2 linked regions of the Caenorhabditis elegans genome follow. The protein of the gene in region 1 interacts with the protein of each later gene in a pairwise test. Each region holds a gene or a part of one and is shown on either strand. Other genes may lie near its edges. The genes, in order: rps-24 and gakh-1.

What was found.
Region 2: the proteins of rps-24 (region 1) and gakh-1 interact in a two-hybrid assay, tested with the Caenorhabditis elegans proteins (one large-scale study listed by BioGRID).

Annotation. Positions count from the first base shown.
Region 1 is NC_003282.8:384,083-387,151, forward strand, and holds rps-24 (Small ribosomal subunit protein eS24), read left to right. Parts: upstream 1-1,811; 5' UTR 1,812-1,826; coding exon 1,827-1,895; intron 1,896-2,011; coding exon 2,012-2,221; intron 2,222-2,350; coding exon 2,351-2,467; 3' UTR 2,468-2,524; downstream 2,525-3,069. Other genes in the region: T07A9.14 (Small ribosomal subunit protein eS24), read left to right, coding at 2,617-2,838.
Region 2 is NC_003284.9:5,781,404-5,787,268, forward strand, and holds gakh-1 (Protein kinase domain-containing protein), read left to right. Parts: upstream 1-2,001; coding exon 2,002-2,143; intron 2,144-2,191; coding exon 2,192-2,419; intron 2,420-2,749; coding exon 2,750-2,905; intron 2,906-2,947; coding exon 2,948-3,042; intron 3,043-3,088; coding exon 3,089-3,317; intron 3,318-3,378; coding exon 3,379-3,744; intron 3,745-3,793; coding exon 3,794-4,045; intron 4,046-4,350; coding exon 4,351-4,455; intron 4,456-4,607; coding exon 4,608-4,747; 3' UTR 4,748-5,052; downstream 5,053-5,865. Other genes in the region: F46G11.6 (ZP domain-containing protein), read left to right, coding at 5,125-5,293, 5,441-5,613, 5,669-5,809.

The sequences.
Region 1 (3,069 bases):
TCTCGAAAATTCCAACTTTTTCGCTTCAGAAACGGAGCGCAGCTTACACTGGAGCGCCTCCATGAGCTCCTGGATCCATTGGATCAATTCCTTTCCTTTTTGCTCTTTTCAGTCGATCCTTATTTGTCATTTCCTGTAACTCGTCTTCATCTGAATCTGGACCCTGTGACGTCATCGGATCACGTCGCTTCCGCTTTTCAGCATTATTGCCACGTGATTGCTTATCATCATTCCCTCCGCGTGAAGTTTTCTTGTTGTGGAAATTTCTGCGGCGAGCGGCATTGTTCTCCTGGAAAAAAAATATATAGTTTTAAAGAATAAATGTTCCGAAATGAGTATTTAAAGGCGCTCGGATCCTTTTGGATGGGAACAACTTTTCCGGCGGTTAGACCCATCCGAGTAAATCTGATAAATCTGTGTGCCTTTAAGTACGATTTCAGCATCTAATTCTACCTCAGATGCGTGAGAATCTCCGAAAAGCACTGTAGCATGCTCTCTGGCGATTCGAGGAGCTGGATCACTAATTATAGCTCGTGGATGACGCGGAGAATACCAACAAACCTGAAAAAATTTTTTTTTAAATCTGGAAATTATTCTGCTACTCACCTCATCTGTTGTTTTATTCCAGAAGTAATACTTCGCAAGTCCCTCATCATAGACTTCAACTCAGTTTTCGTGAAGTAGAAACTTTGCAAGGATTCTGTTCTTATTCTGTACATATCTCTCGGGCAAACTACAAAAAATAGCTATTTTAAAATAATTTTTCTCTAAAATTCAATACAAACCGATATTCCGGAGTTCCATCGACCCAATGACAATAGAAAAATTCGAGGCGAACGTGATATCGATTCCATTTATTCGGACAATCAGGTGCTCCAGCCAAATTTTCTTAGAAACTTCTGGCGGAATGCGCATTTCCTGTAAAATAAATACAATTAATCAGAACAACGAGAATGCCGTTGACATTTTCAAAAGCTTAAAAATTAAAAATGATGAGGTATGAGGAAAAAAATTTATAGTGTAAATCAAAATAAAAATGAGATTTTTCAATGTTTGTAAATAAACAAAAAAAAAGTTTTAAAGCATTAAATGCATAATTTAACGAGGCCCCACGAAAAGGGGAGCAGAACGAAAAGGGGATCTGCAAAAAAGGGATCTGCGAAAAGGGGAGATACTAATAGGGGAGATACGAAAAGGGGAGCAACGAAAAGGGGAGCTGGGCCAAACGCACAAAACGCTTTTTTATTCTCATTCAACGCACGACCTTGTTATAACCACACTCTGTTATTACGCATCGCGCGTTGTTTAGCGTAAAATACAAAAATAATGCGTGCGTTGAATGAGAATAAAAAAGCGTTTTGTGCGTTTGGCACAGTGCCAGCTCCCCTTTTCGTATCTCCCCTTTTCGCAGATCCCCTTTTTGCAGATCCCCTTTTCGTTCTGCTCCCCTTTTCGTGGGGCCTCAATTTAACCCGTAAACCTACACAAAACTTAAAGGCGCACACAGTTATTTCGCTGCGTACGTTGACTTCGTGGCGAGACGTCGAATGAGTATCCAACGCTTAAGCATTGCCTGTGCTATTTTTCTCTCATTTTCTCTTTTTTTCGACGATTTTCTTCAATTTATCTTCAATTTTCACGCCAAACCACGTTTATCTTTTAAATTTTCAACATAACAGTTTTCAAAATTAAAAATACAAGTATTGTCGTCTTTCTAAAGCATTTTTCTCAATTTTCTGGCCAAAATTAAATAATTCGCTCCATTTTCGTTGTTGACAATTTTAAAACTACAATTCAAATTTATTTTGCAGGTAATATTCATCACGATGGGTGACGTCGTTACTATCAGAACGAGAAAGGTTCTCACCAATAAGCTTCTCTACAGAAAGCAGATGGTTAGTTTTTAATTTCGAAAATGTTCGTAAAATGTTTGTTTTAAGTTGGTGATTTGCGAATTGCTTTGATATCACTACCGTTTTAACATGAATGGTTAACCTATTTTTCATTTCAGGTTGTCGAGGTGATCCACCCAGGGCGTCCAACTGTCCCGAAGGCTGATATCCGTGAAAAGATCGCCAAGCTTTATAAGACCACTCCAGACACGGTTATCCCATTCGGATTCGAATCCAAGATCGGAGGAGGAAAGTCGAAGGGGTTCGCTCTCGTATACGACACGATTGACTTCGCCAAGAAGTTTGAGCCGAAGTACAGACTCGTTCGCGTAAGTTACTTTTCTGAATAAGAACGGAATTTTTGATAGATGACTTCTTAGTCTAAATTGATAGACAAATTCCTACGTTCAGCCTTTCTGAAGAGTTCTCTTTTCATTCGTTAATCCGTGCTTTTCCAGATGGGACTTGCCACCAAGGTCGAGAAGCCAGGACGCAAGCAACGTAAGGAGAGAAAGAACAGACAAAAGAAGGTCCGAGGAACCGCCAAGGCCAAGGTCTCTGCTGGAAAGAAGTAAATCTGCAAAACTTTTTGTTGATTTCTATTGTTAACTTCAGTAAACGATTTTACTACAGAATTGTTTTCGTTTTTTATTGTTGTACTTGAGTTGGTATTCCTCTCATATTTCATTTCCATGCGGTTGTCTTATTCCTTTTTTAATGGTTTATGCTATTTCACTTCAGGTCGTCGAGGTTATCCGCCCAGGACGTCCAACTGTCCCAAAGGCTGATATCCGTAAGGAGATCACCAAGCTCTATAAGACCACTTCAGACACTGTCATTCCATTTGGATTCGAGTCATAGATCGGAGGAGGAAAGTCGAAGGGGGTTCACTCTTGTTTACGACACGTTTGACTTCGCCAATAAGTATCAGCCAGAGCACAGCTCCGTAAGTTTCATTTTTGAAGAGGAACTGCAATTCAAGTGGTGTCGTGAAATTAAGGAGTACACTGCATTATTCAAGTAACTTCAAAAACATGTATTCAATATTTCCGACATTTTTCCAGTTCTTTTATCATAGTTGTTCTCATGCTACGACAATTTTTGTGAATTTTCACCACTTTGATGTCTCGAACTACTTGAATACCCCATTAGTTGTGATTTCTCTTCAAATTGTCTT
Region 2 (5,865 bases), on another chromosome or scaffold:
AACATCTCTCCAGGTAGGAGGAAAACCGTCAAAGCTGCACAATGTCAACACACAAGGCGGTCACGACTTTTTGTTTATCAAACTGGCCAACAGATGGCCGCGCCGATGAATGGTGGATATTTGGAACGGAATTGAAAATTTTTAAATCTTTAATGATACACGTTTTAAAGCTGGGTTTTAAGTGTATTTTGAGCAAACGTTGGGTTATCTATTTTGTTTTTAAAGTTTGACAAAAAGACGTCAGCTTTCGCTGAATACACTGGCAATGAATACACCGCGTCACGTCATCGTATACACAGAATTGATACTGAACTTGCGGAAATAGTACAGCGAAGTCATTGGGTAAATGAGTAATGTACAATAGAGAATGGAAATTATTCTTTATCACTTCCGCTACAGTTGTGTAAAAACTAAGCTAGGGAAAAAACCTTAAACTGGTTGAAAAAAGCGGTTCAAAAGTAAGAGTTTGGATGTCAACGGGCATAAGTGACGGGCGTTTATGTGAACGACTCTTTCCTAAACAGGTTTTCTCCGGACAAATGAAAACGAAAACATAAGCGACGAGAAAAGAAGGGGAACTGAACCGAAAGGGGCAAATGGAGGAAGAGGAGGCACACGAAATGTAGAGAGACCGCGTCGCAGCCGCACGCGAGCTGATGTGGTGGTTGTGGTTTGAAAATAGAAATGACACTCTCGAAAAGGAAGGAGAAAGAGAGTATATCACCGCTCCCGAGTATCACCACCTGCCAAGTAGGTGCCATTGAATTCAACCATTTTTATGAATGAATTATGATTTAAAATACATTAGAAGTTGAAGATAATCGAAAGACTACAGAAAAAACGCAAAAAAAGATAAAAGTAATGTTACATAAAGTTTTCGGTAAAACTGGTTGAGCGAAAAATCACAAAAGATGTTTGTTTTTACGAGAGCTGCAACTGGTTCCACGTTGTTACATGTTGTGAGGTAGCAAATGCGTCAGCAGCCACCACTTGGCGCGTTTCGTGTGCGTTCCCCCACACCAAAAAAGGGCGCATTGTATGCAACATTTGCGTTTTTTCATTGATTTTCCTAATTTATTACAACGTGAATTTATTTTTAAACAGAAATCAGTACACTAACATTCACAGTCTTGCAATAAATGCTGCACTGACAAACAATAAGTTTTGCACTGAAAAAAATCGTTTTTTGTCATTGCAAAAAATTTTCAGTTTGCTGTAAAAATTAAATGAAACCTTTAACCCGTTTTCTTATAAAAGAAAGTTTTAATTGTCTTGTTCAACAAAACATTGAAAATTTTCGCAACGATTAAAAAAGCAATAGATGTGATATGAACTTTTCTATTTAAAATTGAAGAACATTGTGTTAGTTTCTACTTTTTTTTTAACATCAATTATTTTTGATCAATGATCATTTAAATTATTGGCTTTCTTCAAACTCGCTCCAAGCAAATTAGCTCAATTTTGCCAACAACACATCCTCCGTTGCCAACCGACACCCCACTTTCGCTGCTGCTGCCCAAATACTCCGCTTCTCTCAGGATTTTTCGACCACGAGAGTACATTTCAGTAGATGCGAGATGGAATCTATCCTATTCCTGACAAATAATGTGAATTTCTTGCCGTTAGTCTTGCGCTAATGGAAATGTGTACTTTATATTCTATGCAGATGAAGCTTTAAAGATAGGAAGGCTTAAGCGTATTTCTTATTGATTGAAACGTGTAAAAACATCATTTGCAAATTTAGAATAATTTTTGAGAAGCAAGATATGTAAATTGAGAAAAGAATGTTCTTCATAAGTCCAATTCTTAATTTTGAAAAAAATTATGTTATAGATACCACCTGAGACCTTTGAATTAAATTGTAAATTGTACATTTTTATCCCTGGTCTTATACTTTTTCATATATTTTTTTCCTTTTTCATATTGATGCACCGCTCATAAAACTATCACATTTTATTATTTTTAATGCACTCATTCTACTATAAATCTGCAATTTCCAAGATGGCATTTGCCCGCGCTCTTGGTGTGATTCAATCTGTCGGTCGAGGCGCAGGAATCAGTGAGCAGAGTGAGCTCTACGATCGTGGTCAGACATTCAGCATTAACGGAAACAATTATCGAGTGGAAAAGGTAATAGCCAAAGGTTAGTGGCCATAAATGACAATTTTCGAAGAGAGCTTATGTTTTGCAGGCGGTTTTGGAACGGTGTTTCTTGCGACCAACACCAAGGGAAAACAAGTCGCCGTGAAGATCATGCTGAGCCACGATGCAGCCGCGACGAAGGATATTGATAATGAAATTGATATGATGAAGAAGCTCCAACACGAAAATATTATTCAACTGTTTGATGCGTCAGCTGAAAGCAGAAGTTCAAATCGGTCCGTGAAAGAGTACAAAATATCAATGGAATATTGCAAATGTGGGTTGAATTTTTTTTGTTGCAAACTCACTCTCAAAAAGTATATTGTTAAAGTGGAGTACCGAAAGAAATCGGCGATTTTGTCTGAAAAAAGACGCAAAATGGCCCAAACCTACCGAATTTTGTGTAATTTGTTATTACTAATTTATTACTTGTTGATTCGTTGATTGAGATGTTTTTCAGTCAGTTTTTTTTCAATTTTCAGAATGTCTCATTACAAAACTGGATAGTTTTGGGCCATTTTGGGTCTAAAAAAGCAAAGTCTCCGATTATGGTACTCCACCTTTAATGTACATACAATTTAATGTATATAACTAAATTTTATTTCAGTTTCAATTGCGGATGTGCTTCTCAAGTACAAAGAAGTCTCAATTGACTTTGTCGTTCGCATAATCTACTTTACAACAAGAGCCCTAGTATATTTGCATTCCGTCGGCGCCATCCACCGAGATATCAAAGCAGAAAATTTGCTTATAAACGGAAATGGTTGGTCTTTCGTTGCTGATTTTAGCTAAAACTATTTTTCAGGAAAACTAAAACTATGCGATTTTGGAAGTGCTACAACAAAGTCCATCGAGATGGCACCACTATCAAATTCCGAAAGATTAGCGGTTCAGGAAGAGGTCATTCCGAAATAAATTTTAAATGAAATTGAAATCTAATTTTCAGATGTTCAAATACACAACACCTATCACCCGATCCCCAGAAGTTTGTGATGTCTACTCAAATTGGCCTATCGGAAAACAACAAGACAACTGGGCAATGGGGTGTTTGATCTATTTTGTTGCGTTTGGAGAGCATCCATTTGATGGATCAGCGCTGGCAATTATCAACGGAAAGTACAAGAAGCCACCACCGGTTCAGCAAAACCAGTTATCAGCGTTTGCAGATTTAATTGGTAAGGAGTTTTCTGCTGGGCGTAAAAATAATAAATAAAGAAATATAAACCCAACTTACAGCAAAGTGTCTGACACCCAATCCGGATGAACGAATTACTGCTGCAAAAATTGAGGAATACATGAAACTAGCAATGCAGAAACAACCAAAACTAGCTGCAAAAACTGATTTCACGGATATACTCGATCTGATGAATGTTCAACCGGTACAAGCGGAGCAAAGTATCGAATCGCAAGCTGCAAAAGGATTCTTTACAATGCAGGACAAACTATTTTCCAATTTGACATCACTCAAAAATACAGTTGTACAGCAGACGAATAAAATGGGATGGGGAATGGAGCCAACAAATACTACACCACGCCCCGGGCACCCTTCAACATCTCCGAAGCTTGTGCCAAAAACACATAGATCAAATCAACAGCAAGAGAGTGAGTGAATGAATTGATTGAAACTTCTCTAATGCCAGTATATTTTCAGAAAACGCACCACCGAGACCACCCACAACAGCAAGCCCTCGTGCAGCCCCAGTTGCAACATTCAAAGTTTCATGGCCGACTGATAGTTCTCAGAATGATTCTGCAAACGATTGGGGAGACTTTAGTCAAGCACCGCCAGCGGTGAATGTTTCGAAAAAAGACGTATTCGATCCGTTTAGCGAGTCAGCATCACACAATTTGTCTGCAAAACATAGCGAAGATCTGTTATCCTTACAGAATTGGCCAGGAACTGGTAAGATTTAGGACACTGAAAACTGCGGAAAGCAATTGAACAGCAATTGAATTCCAAACGAATCCTATGTCATTTAAAAGGGGACCTTCAAACCAGATTAAAATTTTTGATGATTTGTACGGTGCTTAGATGAAGGCAATAAGGCTACTTCCTGTCAAAACTTGGAAACTTTCTCCCAAACATTCTGAATATATTGAAAGCTTTTCTGTGAAAATTTTGCAAGTGTCTGACAACATTATATGTTTTTGAGCAGCTACGAATAATTTCCAATATATTTCCCTATGTTAAAAATAATTTGTCTTCAGCTGAGCACAAACCAGAGGTACGATCCCAATCTTCACGAGACTTGTTTGACTTTGACGACCTGATGCTCCGACACACGACACCTTCCGCCGAATCTTCTCAAGCTGGTACGGTTTGTTCCTCTACGCAGTTATCATTTGCTATGTATTCATTTTGTTACAACCTCCTCTTCATGAATCACTAAATGATTCATCAAAGGAATCAGCCCAAACCAAATGATATCCTCTTTTCAAATCTCATTTCCTTTTTCCTTTTTCAGTTTTACAACCAATACGCCAAGTGGAGAACAAGAACTTGACCAAAGTCGATGTTTCAAAAAACGGAATTGGTTCGTCATCCTCTTCTGCCAGCCTGGATGATATGGTCAGCGATATGATGAAAATGTCAACCAAGAAATAGATTAAAATAGTAAAGTAGTTCAAAAATTATAGTTATTTATCATATTTTCACTTTCTTTCCCGTCCTGTGAATGTTTTGTACGAATTTTGCCAATAATTGAAAGATGGAAATGTACTTATAACGAGTATCTTCTTCTCTTCAATACTCATTTTATAAATCTTTCAGAAAAAAATCCATCCTCATTCCTTCATTTTTTTGTTTCTCTGTAAATAAAATGTATCCTAAATTATGCTTACTTCTTAACTTGTACATCAAAAAATTCAAATGTTTTATCGTCTACGAAAAGTAATAAATCAAGAAGAACACATTGTTCCGAACGCAATGACCTACTTGTATCGGGGTATCTCCAGAATGGAATGAATCGATCCAGCATACAAATGTCCAACCAACTTCTCGTATTCATACTTTTTCTTAGCGTTCTAGCGCCCACGCTATCCATCTATAAGTCAAAACAAAAACCGAACTTGTTGTCGAAAACTGTTGATAATAGTATAACGTGCGACTTTTCGATTCACAAAAAGGGACCTTATGGACAAGTTGTTTCAGGTATGCTTTAGTTCTGGTGTTTGAAAAAAGTTTCAGAAAATAACAAATTTGAATTTAAAAAAAAAAGAAGTTTGTAAAAAACTACAAACATATACAATGTCTGTCAAACAGCCTCTGTTATTGTTTCAAAAAGTTCAAAAATTTCAGGAGCATCTCTTGACGACGAGATTTACTATAAAATAAAGTGTAAGCCAATAACTGGAAATTGCCTCCAAGTTGTAAATTGCACATTGAGCTCGGATGAGCCAGGTTTCCAGCCATACCCTATTATTGATGATATGGGATGTAGCCTTGAAGAGTCACTGTTCAAAAATGTTCAGGTATCAAGAATTTAGGAAATTTGGAGAACAATATCTACAAAATGTCTATTTTCAGTATCCAAACCACTTTGAGGCGGGAATCTTCAATCCCTTCCCAATTCGGTTCCGTGCGTCGTCTGCCGCCGTTGTCTTGTTCTGTGTAACAACTGTGGTTCCAATTGAACATGGGCAGTGTACTCGCAGAAAATGTCAATAGATGAAGTTTCATGTTCATTTACTTTTCACTTCTGTGATTTTATTTAACAACTTCGA